Linked DNA regions of Saccharomyces cerevisiae S288C. The main gene of each other region encodes a partner of the protein of the gene in region 2 in a complex. Each region holds a gene or a part of one and is shown on either strand. Other genes may lie near its edges. The genes, in order: NUP42, NUP85, POM152 and SEH1. A codon is read from its position in the direction of its gene.

What was found.
Region 1: NUP85 (region 2) and NUP42 share a complex: the UniProt entries of both Saccharomyces cerevisiae proteins name them as parts of the nuclear pore complex.
Region 3: NUP85 (region 2) and POM152 share a complex: the UniProt entries of both Saccharomyces cerevisiae proteins name them as parts of the nuclear pore complex.
Region 4: the proteins of NUP85 (region 2) and SEH1 are in contact, whole or in part, in a crystal structure (PDB 3F3P), measured with the Saccharomyces cerevisiae proteins. Residues at the interface, in NP_012576.1 of Saccharomyces cerevisiae: Ser44 (codon at 2,154), Gly45 (codon at 2,157), Ala46 (codon at 2,160), Ile47 (codon at 2,163), Leu48 (codon at 2,166), Val49 (codon at 2,169), Pro50 (codon at 2,172), Met51 (codon at 2,175), Thr52 (codon at 2,178), Asp55 (codon at 2,187), Gln56 (codon at 2,190), Pro57 (codon at 2,193), Ile58 (codon at 2,196), Glu59 (codon at 2,199), Lys60 (codon at 2,202), Lys64 (codon at 2,214), Met65 (codon at 2,217), Pro66 (codon at 2,220), Leu67 (codon at 2,223), Lys68 (codon at 2,226), Phe69 (codon at 2,229), Lys70 (codon at 2,232), Leu71 (codon at 2,235), Gly72 (codon at 2,238), Pro73 (codon at 2,241), Leu74 (codon at 2,244), Tyr76 (codon at 2,250), Gln77 (codon at 2,253), Asn78 (codon at 2,256), Met79 (codon at 2,259); in NP_011415.1 of Saccharomyces cerevisiae: Met1 (codon at 1,563), Gln2 (codon at 1,560), Pro3 (codon at 1,557), Phe4 (codon at 1,554), Asp5 (codon at 1,551), Ser6 (codon at 1,548), Gly7 (codon at 1,545), His8 (codon at 1,542), Asp9 (codon at 1,539), Asp10 (codon at 1,536), Leu11 (codon at 1,533), Val12 (codon at 1,530), His13 (codon at 1,527), Asp14 (codon at 1,524), Val15 (codon at 1,521), Val16 (codon at 1,518), Tyr17 (codon at 1,515), Asp18 (codon at 1,512), Phe19 (codon at 1,509), Tyr20 (codon at 1,506), Gly21 (codon at 1,503), Arg22 (codon at 1,500), Val24 (codon at 1,494), Thr26 (codon at 1,488), Leu38 (codon at 1,452), Trp45 (codon at 1,431), Pro66 (codon at 1,368), Glu67 (codon at 1,365), Tyr68 (codon at 1,362), Gly69 (codon at 1,359).

Annotation. Positions count from the first base shown.
Region 1 is NC_001136.10:843,029-846,551, reverse strand, and holds NUP42 (FG-nucleoporin NUP42), read left to right. Parts: upstream 1-1,690; coding exon 1,691-2,983; downstream 2,984-3,523. Other genes in the region: MSS116 (ATP-dependent RNA helicase), read left to right, coding at 1-600; NAD-dependent histone deacetylase HST4, read right to left, coding at 3,103-3,523. UniProt on the Saccharomyces cerevisiae protein: Functions as a component of the nuclear pore complex (NPC).
Region 2 is NC_001142.9:512,031-516,812, forward strand, and holds NUP85 (Nup85p), read left to right. Parts: upstream 1-2,024; coding exon 2,025-4,259; downstream 4,260-4,782. Other genes in the region: ribosome biogenesis protein URB2, read right to left, coding at 1-1,733; DNA polymerase delta subunit POL32, read right to left, coding at 4,431-4,782. UniProt on the Saccharomyces cerevisiae protein: Functions as a component of the nuclear pore complex (NPC).
Region 3 is NC_001145.3:526,143-532,353, reverse strand, and holds POM152 (Pom152p), read right to left. Parts: upstream 4,551-6,211; coding exon 537-4,550; downstream 1-536. Other genes in the region: DPI35 (Dpi35p), read right to left, coding at 1-235; ATP-dependent RNA helicase ECM16, read right to left, coding at 4,855-6,211. UniProt on the Saccharomyces cerevisiae protein: Functions as a component of the nuclear pore complex (NPC).
Region 4 is NC_001139.9:311,596-314,796, reverse strand, and holds SEH1 (Seh1p), read right to left. Parts: upstream 1,564-3,201; coding exon 514-1,563; downstream 1-513. Other genes in the region: ribosome biogenesis GTPase LSG1, read right to left, coding at 1-166; YGK1 (5'-deoxynucleotidase), read right to left, coding at 1,957-2,604; 60S ribosomal protein uL15 RPL28, read right to left, coding at 2,870-3,201. UniProt on the Saccharomyces cerevisiae protein: Functions as a component of the nuclear pore complex (NPC).

The DNA.
Region 1 (3,523 bases), on a different chromosome or scaffold from region 2:
AGAACAGCCAGAAGTGGGAAAGAAGGATCTTCTGTGCTATTCATTTGTAAAGATGAATTGCCATTTGTTAGAGAGTTGGAAGATGCAAAAAATATAGTCATTGCCAAACAAGAAAAATATGAGCCCAGTGAAGAAATAAAATCTGAGGTCCTAGAGGCAGTGACCGAAGAACCGGAAGACATATCAGATATTGTAATAAGTTTAATCTCATCCTACAGATCCTGTATCAAGGAATACAGGTTTTCTGAAAGGCGCATACTTCCTGAAATTGCTTCCACTTATGGTGTACTGTTAAATGATCCTCAATTAAAGATTCCAGTATCCAGAAGGTTTTTAGATAAATTAGGTTTGAGCCGTAGTCCAATTGGTAAGGCAATGTTTGAAATTAGAGACTATAGTAGTAGAGATGGAAATAACAAGTCCTACGATTATGATGATGATTCAGAAATTTCTTTCAGAGGCAACAAAAACTATAATAATAGGAGCCAAAATAGAGATTACGATGACGAACCGTTTAGACGCAGCAACAACAATAGACGCTCATTCTCCCGTAGTAATGATAAAAATAATTACTCCAGTAGAAACAGCAACATATATTAGAAAAGATAAAAAAGGAGGACCAAGAGATGTGGGTTGTATTTTAAATAACAATTCCTCTATTAAGACGCCTGTATTTTAGACCCCATCTTGATTCAATACTTTCACGTGTAAATACCTAGTATATAAATATTAAACAAAAATTTTTTTTCTTCTCCTATTCTCTTAAAATGATAACTATACGAAGATCCTACTGGTATATTTATTCGTCAATGCTTATTTACGACCGGTACCTCCATTCTTACTTTCGCTCTTCCTCCTCTCAAAGGAAAAGTAATTCTAACATTGTAATTCTTATTTAAACGGATGGAAGAAAGCTTTTGAGAATTTACTTGAAAAGTCAGGGTGTCTTAGGCGATTGATCACGGACATAGCCATATTACGAAAACTTCATTCTGAATATTGCCAACGAGACAATCGTGGGCTTGGTAATCGTTGAAAAATTTTCACATATTTTATGAACAGCTGAGCCTATTAACAATGAAAATAGTCTATACGATAGTCCAGAACTGAATAACAGTGTCAATCACTTTTTTTTTTATGATTAAATCCTAGTTAAAGTGCCGCTCTGCGAAAGAAAAATCAATAAATACCATTTGTTAGTGATCTAGCAATAATATCAATGACATCTTGTCTTATCTTAAAAATAAACAAAAAATTCTTTACAGTGTACTGAGCATTAATCTGGCTACGGCCTGGAGGGAAATTATGTCTTATACGAATTTTGCTCCGGCAATTCTATTTACGCTGTTTAGCTTATCATGCGATTTCAACCTTCTTTATATAGTAAATTAGCTTCGAAATAAAAGTATTCGCGAGAGGACAAGACATGAAACCTAAACCACGACGCTGAAGGTAACGACATCATAATACGTTTCAAAGGGCTAACCTTAATATACTGACATCTAGAAATATATTAATTCTGCATATCAAGAAACACGCCGACTGAGGGTGCAAGGTATTTGAAAAAAAATAGTGAATCAATAGATGAGCGCACAATGTTTAAAGTACTATAACACTGAACTGTTGTACTTTAACGCAAAAGCTCATCAAGCTATCATTAAATTTCGACCCGAGCAACGACTCAACTGTAATGTCAGCTTTCGGTAACCCATTCACGTCGGGTGCTAAGCCTAATCTTTCTAATACAAGTGGTATCAACCCTTTCACAAATAATGCTGCTAGTACCAATAACATGGGAGGAAGTGCATTTGGAAGACCTAGTTTTGGAACAGCAAACACAATGACAGGAGGAACCACCACTTCAGCATTTGGAATGCCCCAGTTTGGTACCAATACAGGCAATACTGGCAATACGTCAATTAGCGCTTTTGGGAACACCAGTAATGCGGCTAAACCGTCAGCATTTGGAGCACCAGCATTTGGTTCTAGCGCCCCCATCAATGTTAATCCGCCTTCTACTACGTCAGCATTTGGAGCACCGTCATTTGGATCAACAGGTTTTGGTGCTATGGCGGCGACAAGTAATCCTTTTGGTAAAAGTCCTGGCTCAATGGGCTCTGCATTTGGTCAACCAGCTTTTGGAGCGAACAAAACTGCTATCCCTTCTAGTTCGGTTAGTAATAGTAATAACTCCGCATTTGGTGCTGCGTCAAACACGCCCTTGACCACAACTTCTCCTTTTGGTTCACTGCAACAAAACGCATCACAAAATGCATCATCTACATCGTCAGCGTTTGGCAAACCGACTTTCGGCGCAGCTACTAATACCCAGTCGCCATTTGGTACTATTCAAAATACAAGTACAAGCAGTGGGACAGGAGTATCCCCATTTGGCACATTTGGAACTAATAGTAATAACAAATCACCTTTTAGTAATCTACAGAGCGGAGCAGGCGCTGGTTCTTCGCCGTTTGGTACTACAACCTCCAAAGCTAACAACAACAATAACGTGGGCAGTAGCGCATTCGGAACGACGAATAATCAATCTCCTTTTAGCGGAGGTTCTGGGGGCACCTTTGGTTCTGCTTCTAACCTCAATAAAAATACCAATGGCAACTTTCAATCTTCTTTTGGTAATAAAGGGTTTTCATTCGGAATTACACCACAAAACGATGCCAACAAAGTCTCGCAATCGAACCCTTCATTTGGGCAAACAATGCCAAACACAGATCCGAACATAAGTTTGAAGAGCAATGGTAACGCAACCTCTTTTGGATTTGGACAACAACAGATGAATGCTACTAATGTCAACGCTAATACGGCCACCGGAAAAATTAGATTTGTTCAAGGGTTATCTTCTGAAAAGGACGGTATTCTAGAATTGGCCGATCTCGCAGAGGAAACACTGAAAATATTCAGAGCAAACAAGTTTGAACTAGGCCTTGTCCCTGATATACCTCCACCACCTGCATTGGTTGCATAGTAAGGTCAAAGAAAAACATACAAAATGGTAACTTAAACAATATATATGAATATATATATATATCTAATGAAAAATGCATTAATTTTATCTCCAACCTTTTTTGGTAGGACAAATACTTTCTATAATAATGAGGTAACATGCTGACAATCTCCCAGTACAACTAGGTCTACAAATTTCAAAGAGTCTAGCACATTCTTAGGCGGCATACTGGTGTTTAAATATAACACAATACCCCTGTTTGCATGGACTTTGGCCGCAAACTGCCTGCAAATATTTTTCACTCCGGGAATCTTCAAACTCGTTCCAACAATAATCAAACAATCAATTCTTTTCTTTAAGTCATTATTGGCAATTTCACCGATAAAATCACCTTCAGGGTGGACCTCATTGTATAAAATTACTCTTGGACGCAACTTGCCCACACCAGTAGATCTTAAGCCTGCCATTTTTCTAACTGTTTCATATTCTTCACATTGTGGACATGACGGTATGATTTCAGTCCGAGAATCAAATTTGTCGTCGCATTTGAACAGTTCAGGG
Region 2 (4,782 bases):
TCTCTTGTAAAGTTGTTGTTTACTAATGTTGCAAATTTGGACACAACAGAGTATGATAAGTTTGACTTTCTTTCTTCGTCAAGGATTTCAAAGTGCCTCATGAATTTTTTTTTTGCATCAGAAAGATCGAACGAAATATATTCTCTCAATTTGAAGCAATAAAAGAACAGTTCTTCAACATCAGCCGATGTAGTATCAAAAATATTAGAAGATAACACGTAATCGATTTTTTCTAGTTCCTCTGCAGGGACAATATCATCGTAGACTTCCATTATATGATACTTTAGGTCCCATTGAAGACTGTTATTAAATGATTCCAAAGTAAATACTTGAGATAAAATAGGCTTTACCTCATCGAGAGTTGCGCGCGATGCGCCCTCTGATAGTCCCTCCAAGCATATGCGTATTAAATATAAAGGAACCCTGTTGGTGGAATCGTGATTGACTTGGTCAAGTAAAGCTTGCAATAGATTTTTCCATTGTAAAGAAGATAAAGTGAACAATTGCTTCGTTATAGACTTGACATATGCAGGATGATTTATCAAAAAATAGGAATCGGGTCCTTTTCTGGAACAGTACTCATTTATTTTGGCAAAAAAATCTGATAATTCCCTTGCGTTAGCGTGTGATTGGATTATTAAATCCCAAATATGAGAGGAAAAGAGAGGATCGTTCAAATTTTCGAGCTGAATCAATTCAAGTAACCGAAAAATATGTTTAATAGCAACCTCGATATCCAATTTAAGGATAATTGGTATTAATGATAACACTCCAGATTCATCAGTCGACGCTAACATTTCAAGCAATAATGCTTCAAGGAACTCTTGAGATACGGTTTTCTTCGATTCCGATAAAAGATTCAGAAATCTGCATTCTAAACTAGGTTTCTTGGCACCTAAAATTGTAAAGATGACTTCTAGTTGAGCAAAATTGTCTTTTGATAAGAAAGTGACGAAAGTGGCAAAATAATAATAAGCCATATCGTCGGTAATTTCGGACGCATTCTCTTGGACAAACTTTTTATTTAATTTCATGTAATCTATGCGTGGTTGTAAAAGGAACTTTCCCATAAAATGAGATAGACGAATGAAGGATTGGTTTGAAGATGCAGAATTTTTGGTCTGTGCGAAATATCTTAAACTTGGTAGTAGCATATGCTTGCAGTAACAAGTAGCAATTTTGTTATCCGTTGTAGTAATATTGTCAACATGAGTTAGATTGCAGGCATCTTGCAAGTATGAAAGCGCAAAGTCAGTCGTCGGGCACGAACTTAATCCATTTATGGCATGTTCTAAAAGTTGAAAAGACTCTTCAACAGAAAAATTGACAATCAAGTAGTCATTAATCGCAAAAAATGCTTTTATAAACGAAACGCTACGTGTAAGTAATTTGTCTTTAGGCCAAAGGAAAAATGTTCTTATCATTACAGGCACAGTCTTCAATTTTTTGAGTAGTTTTTTTATCGAAATTGGATCATTAATAGCATCTAATAATCTCGTGAAAATTATCCAAGTATGTTCACTGGTCTTAAAATCATCCAAATTTCCATTGTTGAGCCTATCAATGAGTAAATCTAAGACGAAAATTTCTTTTTTTGGAAAGTAGGTTTCTAATTTATCAAATTTTGAAACTATCTCGGCAATTTGATGGGGTTTTGTGCTCGTCGAACGTAGTAATTTCGACAAATCTTGGGCATTGTCTGGGATAGATAGTTCTTCTGTAAGATCACCCATATTATCAAAAAGTGCAGTATACTCTCTGTTTTTCCAAAGATAATTGATGGCAAGCTAAATCTTAGACAGAGATGTTCCTATGCTAGTAAACAATTCTGTAGTTGTGACCAAGTGCCCTCTTAGCGATCATTTTGAGATGAGCTAAGTGAAATTTTTCAGATCGCGCACGACGGAGAGGTTTTTTAGTTGGATGGAAGTCAAGCCTTGTACAAATTGTAGTTGTATAGAAAACATTGAACTTACGGTCTTGAGTTGAGTCAATAAGCGTGAGCCAGAACGCAATTATCAGATATGACAATCGATGATTCAAATCGATTACTTATGGACGTCGATCAATTTGATTTTTTGGACGACGGAACGGCGCAACTTAGTAATAACAAGACCGATGAAGAAGAACAACTATATAAAAGGGACCCAGTCAGCGGGGCTATCCTGGTCCCTATGACTGTAAATGATCAACCGATTGAAAAAAATGGCGACAAGATGCCTTTAAAGTTCAAGCTGGGGCCACTTTCTTACCAAAATATGGCATTCATAACTGCAAAAGATAAATATAAGCTTTATCCTGTTAGAATTCCTAGATTAGATACCAGCAAAGAGTTTTCTGCATACGTATCAGGTTTATTTGAAATTTACCGTGATTTAGGTGATGACAGAGTGTTTAATGTACCAACGATTGGAGTTGTTAATTCTAATTTCGCGAAGGAGCATAATGCAACAGTAAATCTGGCCATGGAGGCGATTCTGAATGAATTGGAAGTGTTTATTGGTAGAGTCAAGGATCAGGATGGAAGAGTGAACCGATTTTATGAGTTGGAAGAATCTTTAACCGTTTTAAACTGTCTGAGGACAATGTACTTCATATTAGATGGTCAGGATGTAGAGGAGAACAGATCAGAGTTTATTGAGTCATTGCTAAACTGGATTAATAGATCAGACGGTGAACCAGATGAAGAATATATTGAACAAGTGTTTTCAGTGAAGGATTCTACAGCAGGTAAAAAAGTGTTCGAAACACAATATTTCTGGAAGCTTTTGAATCAGCTTGTTTTAAGAGGCCTGCTCTCCCAAGCTATAGGTTGCATTGAAAGATCAGATCTTTTACCATATTTGAGTGATACATGTGCCGTTTCATTTGATGCAGTAAGTGACTCCATCGAACTCCTGAAACAATATCCAAAAGATTCGTCCAGTACATTTAGAGAATGGAAAAATTTGGTGCTAAAATTAAGTCAAGCCTTTGGTAGTTCTGCTACTGATATTTCCGGTGAATTACGGGATTACATTGAAGATTTCTTGTTAGTAATTGGTGGAAATCAACGAAAAATTCTGCAGTATTCAAGGACGTGGTATGAGTCCTTTTGTGGGTTTTTATTATACTATATCCCCTCATTAGAACTATCAGCAGAATATTTACAAATGTCACTGGAAGCTAACGTCGTAGACATAACAAATGATTGGGAACAACCATGCGTCGACATCATTAGTGGTAAGATACACTCAATTTTACCGGTAATGGAATCTTTAGATAGTTGCACAGCAGCATTTACCGCTATGATTTGTGAAGCAAAAGGTTTGATAGAGAATATTTTTGAGGGTGAAAAAAATAGCGATGATTATAGTAATGAAGACAACGAAATGCTTGAAGATCTATTCTCTTATAGGAATGGTATGGCATCTTATATGCTAAATAGCTTCGCTTTTGAGTTGTGTTCACTGGGTGATAAGGAACTATGGCCCGTTGCCATTGGATTGATAGCCTTATCTGCAACAGGGACGAGAAGTGCAAAGAAAATGGTGATTGCAGAATTACTTCCACACTACCCATTTGTTACGAATGATGACATTGAATGGATGCTAAGTATATGTGTAGAATGGAGACTACCAGAAATAGCGAAGGAAATATACACCACGTTGGGTAATCAAATGTTATCGGCACACAACATAATTGAAAGTATCGCAAATTTTAGTAGGGCGGGCAAATATGAACTGGTAAAGTCATATTCGTGGCTATTATTTGAAGCTTCGTGCATGGAGGGCCAGAAGTTGGACGACCCTGTGTTGAATGCCATTGTGAGCAAAAACTCTCCTGCAGAGGATGACGTTATAATACCACAAGACATTTTAGATTGTGTAGTGACGAATTCTATGCGTCAAACTTTAGCGCCATATGCTGTTCTGTCACAATTCTATGAGCTGAGGGACAGAGAAGATTGGGGCCAAGCGCTGCGCCTATTGCTTTTGCTGATTGAATTCCCTTATTTACCAAAACATTACTTGGTTTTGCTTGTGGCGAAATTCCTGTACCCAATTTTCCTTTTAGATGATAAGAAGCTAATGGATGAAGATTCAGTGGCGACAGTCATTGAAGTTATAGAAACTAAATGGGATGACGCTGATGAAAAAAGTTCAAACTTATATGAAACCATTATTGAAGCAGATAAAAGCTTACCTAGTAGCATGGCAACACTTTTGAAAAATTTAAGAAAGAAACTAAATTTCAAATTATGTCAAGCGTTCATGTAAATCAGTATAGTAATGTCCTTCGGATGGTATATTAGGATATATGACGAAAATAAGTAAATTTAAACAACAATATATATTTATATTGATCTATTTTTCTATCACGTAAGTTGACATTTGTATTATACATTACATCACAATTAGTAATGGAAAGTGTTTGGAAAAAAAAGAAGATTATTTTGCCTTTCTTTTGAAAAAGCTTTCCAATGTTCCTTGCTTTTTTAACCTTTTATTCGATGACGGCGTTTCTTGCTTTTTTGAAGACGACAATGCCCTTTTTACCACGGGTGATGGCTTGCGTGGTGGTGTTGAAGTTGCGGGTCTCTTTGTCACAATATATCCATCCTCATCAATAAAAGAGGAGGGCTCTTCTTCAGATTTAGGTTCCTTTGAATGTTCTGTTTCAGAAGGCTTTGTTTGCTGTATTTTAGGTACATCCATAAGTGAATCTTCTGCTGTCGTTTCCAACAAGTCTTCTAAATCATCGTTGTTTTTGTCCTTATCGTTGCTGTCAGTTTCTTTAGGT
Region 3 (6,211 bases), on a different chromosome or scaffold from region 2:
TTCCGTATTGGGGATAGTCTTCCTTCAGTTTTTTAAAAACGTGTGGAAAATTGTTTGTTAAAGTCGAAGGATTCGCCTTGATACCATATTTACGCCCAACAATGCAGTATTGTTCCATGACGGGAAGTTTTGTGGCGTATAGTGTATTATATGCGTCGAAAGTAATAATTAGTGGCCTTGCCACCCTATGAACTTCAGACCACGCATTTATAGGTATTCTTTTCGGATAGGTCATTGAGCCAATTTCTGTGGATGTTCAAAAGTCTGCTTTTAACACACCTCTATAGACCGTAAAGGACAAAGGTCTCAGCGCTCTCTTTTTCTATTCATTCACCTACACTCTTTCGAGTTACTATGAGCGAAGATAATTGAATCGAGCGTCTTGATAATTTTGAAGAAAAAGAACAACAAACAATACAGGCGTCTTTTTCGCTTTCTTAAGTATTTTAATACTGATGTACAGAGATATATTATACATTACAATTGTACAAAAATATTGCGGGAAAGAAAAATTTCATCAGACTTTCTTGTAATATTTAGTTATTGAAAAAAAGATCATTTTTGGCAAAACAATAAGCATCTGTAATTTCAATCGCCTCGTAGGTACCTTGCAAGCTTGTAATTACCTTGTATTCATGAGAATATATATCAGTGACTTTATGCGTCTCAACAACCTGCGACCTCCTTTTGCCGTGTTTTCCATCAGTCTCTTCTGTCCTTACATAAGTTAGTGAGAATGGTGGGGTACCTTCAAACGAAAAGATTACTTCAGCCTGGTCACCTTCGCGGATATCCTCAGTAACGTAATTTCCTTGAGAAACAGTTACGGAAGGAATAGGATGTATGTTTAAAGATAAGTCATCAAATTCACTCTTTAATTTAGGGTTCGTAAAGTCGACAATGCATTGTGATGATGAATCCTGTAAAGAAGTGATAGATATAATGCCCGGTTCAGATGCTAATCTAACAAATTGGGAGCTGCGTTCCTTAGATTTTAGTGGAATACCGTTGAATTCATACTTAATCATGAAAGGTGCCACACCGTTTAATTGATATGCAACATAGTCCCCAACACAATACTCGGTAGAAGGATCTAATATATGTATCTTTGGTGCATCAGTAATTGACACAAGAATTTGATTACGCGGTCCAGATATGAGGCTGTTAACACAACCATTTGCGTCAACAACAGAATCAATAGTAATGGCATGGTTACCTAACTTCATCCCTTCATATAACTTTTCAAATGAAAAGTTCTCTGAGTCAATGTTGTCAATGGTATACTGATCTGTCCTACTGGTACTCTCGTGATAAACGCTAAAGGTGATTGAAAATGGGCTTTCGCCTTGTAAAAATTTCAAATTTATTGGTTCCAAAAATGAGATTTGATCTACATTAGCAGCACATGCACGCAAGGTTTTACCACCATCAGCAAAGGCGACGTCTGGAATGGGGTGCACTGTCTGTTTGATTATGAGCTCCGACTGATGTTCTCTAAAATGTATGTCGCTTTCACCATAATTGCCATCGAAGATGGCCTTAATAGTAGTTATGTACTCTCCAGGAATTTGATTAGGCAGTTTCAGTGAAGCGTATTTGGTTGCCACCTGAATTTTTTTTGTAGAAATATGACCGTTGGGTGCCATCAAATCATATTCTAATATGAATGGTGGAGAACCAAATAGAGCCAAATCAACCGTACCTTCCATCCCTTGACAGACTTCTTCTTTAGAGAATAAATTTTCCGTTACTTTTGTAATGTGATGATTGTCTTGAATTGCAAATTTTGGCTTCTCCAAGAAAGATACCTTATACAGACTGTTCCGGTAAATCACATTACCTTGGCAACTTGAGTCACGAATATCGACCAATTGGTAAAGCCCTTCTTTACTTACTTTCAAAGCGGGCTTATAACTATTCTGAAATTTGTTTTCAAATTCTTTCACAATGTTTCCATCGTAATCCATGTGTTTAAACTTAACGGTGAATGGCCCCTCTCCACTTAATTTGAGCGGAATTTCAGTGACAGAACCGTGCTTAATTTTAGCTTCTTTGATAGGTTCAAAAAAATTGAATGCAGCAGATGGAATATCTCTCCTCACCTGTATTTTAGCATCTGGTTGGCTGAGTCCAACTACACAGCCGGTAGAATCCTTGATAGAAACCAAAGATAGAATATAATCACCACCAGTAGTAAAGACTGGTGTTTTAATGACATATTCGTTGGTTTTTATTTCTTTAATTTCAAAAGTTTTCCTCTTGCTAGAAAAAGTTTCAATGATATCATATGTTAACGTAAAAGGGCCTTGGCCTTTTAGTGCTACTGGGACACTGCTGTGGTCACCCAAACAGAGTTTCAAATCATGGTGTAATTTTAGTGATGCGCTTGGTTTCACCCTCATTGATGTCTTGAAAGTATATTCTTTTACAGGTTCCAATTTGATTGGTTCAGTGAATAATTTATTAGAAACAGTATCAAACACGATTTCATAGTTACCTTCTTTAGGTGGACTATAGCTGAAGCGATTTCTCGTACCTTCAGAGGTGTATCTCTTTGCATCATATAACTTTCTTTCACCGTTTTCAAGCTTATAGATTTTAGTGTTATAATAGTATGGTGGAGCCCCAGTAAAAGATAGTTCAAAGTTTAGACCAACCTGTCCCACACACTGGTCCAATATTGGAAATGATTTAACTTCCATAGTAGGTGCAACTGGCATAGTTACAAGAACGTTTGATTTACCCACAATTTCACCTGGACAAAACTTAGATTCAATATATTCTAAGTTATATGACCCCGGAAGATCCGCTTGCAACACTTTGGTCAAAGAATCTGTAGTAACATTCATTATCTTTTTCGACTTGTCTTGTGCATCAGTATAGGATAGGCTAATAACATATGGAATGTCTGAAATCCAGTTTTTGATTTCTTCAAACACGATGGCAATAGACCTTTTTGTGGGTGACTTTGGATCAAATCTTTCTTCTAGCGCTGCACGTGGAACCTCATGAACATTGAAATTATAAGATAGATCATAGCGCTTTTTTAATTCTTCAGGGAGAGATGTAAAATCCACGACATTTCCCAGACCATCAGTTATTTTATCAATTTTATATGCAAATTTGCCGTCCTGGGTAATGGAAGAGTCTAAATTAATATTAACAGGTTGGTTTCTTCCCCATTTCAAATCGTTTAGTTCTCCTTGAGTAAAACTTTGTTTGGATTTGCTTGACTGCAAAGGAGACTCAAAATATTCTGGTTGCAAGCTGGAGTCTACATATGAAAAAGTTTGACCATTAACGATCTTAGAGTATGCTAATTTCATTGGGGGCACACCTTGAATTTCAAAAGAAACATTATCTGAATCGCCAATACATCTATCATTGCTTCCAGTTCCAGTAATAGATGCAATTGGACAGTAGGGTACAACCAAGTGTGACTGATGGATCTTTAAATTCAGTTTTTTTGAATCAACAATTTTTTTGATTTGATAAAAGCCAATATCTTGAAGAGTTACAGCCAAATAACGAATTGTACTGCCTTCTTCAAAATCGTTTGAATGTGACTTTAGAACTGACTGATCTTTTTTTAAAAAGGATTTGGGGTTATCGATGATTTTGAAGTCTTTCTTACTCAAAGACCGTAACTCTACCGAATTTGTGTAAAGATCTCTATATTCCAACTCGATATATTCAATCTCTTCAGTTGAGTTTATTCTGATGGGTACGTCAATTGAGTTAATTTTAAAAAGATTGGTATCCATGGGCAAACAATATGATTCATGAAGAGGATTAAACATAGCTGTGTTTTCAGGTAGGATCTTGATTGTTAGAGCACCCTTAAAATGAGCGGAAGAATCAAAAATACGATGATGGTTAATGGCTGAACCTGTTACACTTAATTCTTTCGTATAAAGTTTTCTCCATGTGGTCATAATTAATGAAATCAAAACGAACTCGTGATCGCTTGATATGAAAATGTTCAATAGTAGCATAGCTAAAATCTGGAGATAAACAACCCATGGCTTAAAAGTCAACCTAGGAATGTTAAAGGATGGTAAAACATACAGGAAGAAGGAATCTATAATGAAATACTTGGATATGAAATTAAATCGATAGTTCTTAAACAGTAAACCCGAAAGCGGTAACCCCGATTTAAGTATTACCAGGTCATATATTTTATAACATTGAATTATTAAAAACAATATCACCGCAAATGTCCTTTGTTTGGAAATTTCTAAAACATCGGTTGATATTAGAGGCAGTGAATAAATGTCTACCTTTTTATCACCATTAATGTAGCGGTCTTTGCTGTCACGTTCAGATATCCTTGATTTTTCATCGCTTATGTTACTTTCAGTACTTTTAAAGCTCCTCGAGCGTAAAGGTCGGATTTTCTCAGCGGGCTCATCGTCACTATATTGGAAGCGTCGTGTTGTGTTTACATTAGGACGACTGCTATAAGATGGACGTGGTGATCCTGACACAGAACTGCCCATCCAATGGTTCCCTCGTGGAGTATCATTAAACACGTTATATCTGTGCTCCATTATACAAGCCTCCTGATAAACGTATCTGGTATGATAAATCTATAATCCGTTTTGAATTGGTTCGATGAGTTTCCTCTTATTATGTCTTAAGCAATTCTTACTTTTGTTCAATAAAAAAAACGTATAAAGTTATTGACTACGTATATAATGACATAAAATACATAGTGCTATAGAACATAATGTTTTGAATTATGAAGGAAGTTAACATTAAGTGGTTGCAATTATTTGATGCCCTAGATAGGAATAATGTATTCTTCCTATATGTTCTTATATAATGAAACTCTATTTCTATAATACCAGCGCATTATTTTTTTTCTTTCTCTTCACCTGTGATGGTCTGGAAGCCCTTTCTGGTGATAAACTTAATGACTGTCCACTGGCCTTTTTGCTTCTTCTGATGCACTGCTATAGGATTTAAATCCCAACCAATCTTGAGATCGTTGTCAACTGTGGATCCAAATCTAGGAACCACATAACAATACCGTTCCGTAGGTGATAAATTAACGGTCTTCAAGCCTTGACCAGTCAGAGGTTTACTGTATGTCAAAAGAAGTCCCTTTCTTGCTATGTTCGCTAAGGGGGTGCTTGCGATGTCACATAAAGTATTCATCCTTGTTTTATTATTTCCACCAAGGTGCAAGGAATAATAGAGCATGTATTTGGGTGGCATTTCCCCCAAATTATTTAAAATTGAAGTCGGATGGATATAGACAAAGCAGTCCTCGATATTTGGTGTTCTCGTGGCCAAAACAGGAATATAAGGAATGTTGATTATGGAAGTTCTGTTGGTTATCTTAGCATCATCTGGAAATAAAACATCTGCTCTTACGGCAACATGGTCGACAAAACCAGCGCAAATCATTTGTTTTAAAAGTTTTATTTGTATGACGCTTGGAATATCACTTTTCAAGTCTTCATTCCTAATTACTACGGCAATATTTTCTTTTGAAGTGTTGGACTTGATGATATACATTAACTGCTTCCTCAATTTTACTATTTCTTCCATTAGTTTGCCTCTTAAAAAATTTTTCTTCATGAATATTTCTTTTTGTTCCTTTGGAACGTAGTCCATTGCACTTACAACACTTAATAAACGGAATACGTCACTAAATTTGTCTAATTTACTAAACTGACTCCTGCTTTTATAGAATTTACTGCGCAATTCCTTTTTCAGTTCAGGATCCATACCTGGTGTTGATTCATCGTGCTCTCTAATCTTATCATCTAGATTTTCATCTGGATTTGGTTTTCTAGAAATTTCGTTTATTCCCAACTCAAATTCATTGATAAAAGGATCTCCCACCGAAAGGGCACTAACAATTGCTACAATATAAGGAAGGCAGGCTTTTTCGTCAGAAACAAGTAACATTTTGGAAAATCTGGGTGAAAGTGGGAACAGGCTCATTTTTTTACCATCTTCAGTAATCATCTCCTTATTATCAAGAGCACCTAAATATTGCAGTAATTGTATTGCCTTGGAAAGGGCAACTCTATCTGGAGGAGTTGGAAATGGAAAATTAATGATATTATGAATGGCCATGCTCTTCATTTGTAACACGATGCTCTCCACTGGCATTCTTAAGATTTCAGGTTTAGAGAACTGTTCGAAATCATGTTCAAAAACAGCAGACGAATATAAACGGTAACAATGGCCTGGTCCA
Region 4 (3,201 bases), on a different chromosome or scaffold from region 2:
CGGTAGTGAACCTCATTTCACCATCAGGTAAATACTCGATGGCATTTTCTTTTTGACGTGCATATTTAATAGCTCTGCCTAATTCAAGCTTATTTTTATTTTTACGGTGGGTAGGTTTTGGCCCTTTTGGCGCCTTCCATTTCTTGGGAGCTTCTTTTGGTGGCATAGTTGGTGGGGGTCCTCAATATCAGATTTAGTTTTGTGTTTAAAAGAAGTTGGCTTATAAGCTCATCACCTCTTTATTAAGTAGTAGAATGCATTTTCATTGACAAATTTTTTAATCTCGGCATTGAAAAATTTCCAGGCGAAAAGGCGAGGGAAGGGAAGCTTGATATAATTCGAAAGAATACCCAATATCAAGAATAATAATATCATTTGATGTAATATCATTATATTTGTAAGAGCTTTTTAAAAGCATCATCTTTCTTGATTCATCTGTTGCCTCGTATTATACAGAATAATGCACACGTATAAAGTACCAATATATAATGTTATGTATACATATATTCTTATTTATTGTTGGGCAGTAATTACTGACATACACTTAAATTCATTTGAATAAGTGGCTTTCCATAAACGTACCTTCCCATCATCCCCAGCACTGCTTAAGATTGTACCCGTTAAATTCCAAGACACGGACCAAACTTCGCCATTATGGTCATCATGCTCGCTTAGAAGTTCAACTTGCAAGTTTGATTGTAGCTCAGCTTTCTCTTCGGTATTTGAGTCTGATCTGCCCTGTGCATCCATGTCAACATCAGCACTATTATCAAACATATTTGAGTTAGTTAAAGACTCCTCTGAGGCCAGGGGACTTAGTTTTTCTGTGATTTTGAAAATTCTAATTCTACCATCTTTGCAACCTGTTGCAATGAGTTGATACCATCTACCAATGGAAGGAGCCCAGCTGATACTTCTTATTAAACTTTTATGACCGGGAAGTTTTGCTGCAACGTGAAGTTTACCGTCTTTACCCCTTTGGTATATAATCGCTTGTTCCAATGCAGAGACTGCGAGCTTTTCAGGAGAAAATCTCGAAGGACACCAAGAGAGACAAAAATCAGACTGTAAATGATTTGCTGGTGGTATAGATAGCACTTTCATCTCAGAAGTCAGTGTCCATGACCTTAGGTCAGAAGGTTCTAAGGCATCATAAAGTCTGAGGATTCCATCGTTACCCAAACAAGCTAATTTTAAGCCCAAATGCGCTGGCGCAAATTTTACACTATAAAGTGATCCTTTGGAATCATTCAGGGTACACAGCTTGTTCCAACGACGGCCAGAGCATTCTTCTTGGTCGGGATCTTCTTCCCATAATTTTACCGTCTTATCGTAAGAGGCTGAAGCAATGATGCGCCCATATTCTGGACTGGCCCAATCAATGGCCACGATACTACTGTCGTGAGCTCTCCATGAGTCACTGAGTTCCCAATTACTCGTGTCCTTGTCTAATTTAAAAACTTTAATATGTTGATCAGAAGAGCATGTTGCCACATGTCTTCCGTAAAAGTCATAAACGACATCATGAACTAAATCATCATGCCCACTATCAAATGGTTGCATATTCAGAAATATTATTGGGTCGTTCTTCTTCTTCCTTAGTATCTCTTCAGAAGGGAAACCTTGTTTATAATTTGGTTTACTTGTCTCTATTCAGTTCATGATTTTTTCCATCGTTTTGCCGAAGACTTAACTAACAATAAATAAGAGAAACAGATATATTAAAACTTGGTTGATAATGCAGCACGCACATTCAATCGCGAATAATATACAAAAGATTATTTCTAAAGTTACATATAATGCACACCGGGTGCTGGAAGTATAATACATGCAAAATAAAATGGGCACTATCTCGTTGAAAAGCATCAAGATGTTATTATAAATGATACGCACCACCAGGTGAAGGTTTGAGAAAAGAAAAAAAAGCACTAACTTTTCTTTCAAAAGGCCACATTATTACTCCTTCAAACTGTCGAAAAAGGCTTGTCGATCTTCCAGTAAAGATTGTGTCCATTTTTTAACTTCATCAGTTTTTATATCATTGATGGCTCCCAAAAATTGTTTCAAATCCTTCTTGCCATTATACTTTTGTTCGTACTCAAAACATTGAACCAACATTTCATACTTATCAATATCTTTGACATATCTTCCTTCCAAACAGGTCTGCTTTTCGTATGCTAACCAGTCATCAAGAATTTCCCTAGATGCGCTTTCACTGCAGGGCCTTATTATGCTTTCACAGAGATACTTGACAGTTTCAAATTCTCTGCGATGTTTCTCTTCCTTTGTCATTGGGTCATTAGGTGTAATATCACCAACTAATGACTCCGCAAAATCGTGAACAAGTGCGATTCTGATACATTTGTTACGATCAACATTCTTGTCCGTAATCAGCATGGTAGTTAAACCCATTCTGTACATATGGTCAGATATACTTTCGCATGGGTCAATACCATGGTCAACCCAACCAGTTCTTCTTTGCGTTTTCAAAAGTTGTATAATATTCAAAAACGCTAACTGATAATTTGGGTGAGGTTTCGAAAGAATTGCCAAAATCTCCCTAGGTATATTATCTTCTGGCTTCCAGATGTTAACTGCAGTCATTTTGTTTTTCCTGGTCTTTACCTCGAATAGGTTTTCTTGTTTTGTTATTTGTTTTCTTTTTGGACCCTATGTTTATATATGGATTTTGAAAATCTTTTAAAAAAGCGATAAAAGCGTTGGGATCTGCCACTGGTAACTTCAAAATAGACAAGACGAAAAAACGGTGAAAATGGGTGATAGAAATAATACAGAAGTAGATGTTGAATTAGATTAAACTGAAGATATATAATTTATTGGAAAATACATAGAGTTTTTGTTGATGCGCTTAAGCGATCAATTCAACAACACCACCAGCAGCTCTGATTTTTTCTTCAGCCAACTTGGAGACGAATCTAGCTTTGACGATAACTGGAACATTTGGAATTCTACCCTTACCCAAGATCTTACCGTAACCGGCTGCCAAAGTGTCAATAACTGGAGCAGTTTCCTTAGAAGCAGATTTCAAGTATTGGTCTCTCTTGTCTTCTGGGATCAATGTCCACAATTTGTCCAAGTTCAAGACTGGCTTCCAGAAATGAGCTTGTTGCTTGTGGAAGTATCTCATACCAACCTTACCGAAATAACCTGGATGGTATTTATCCATGTTAATTCTGTGGT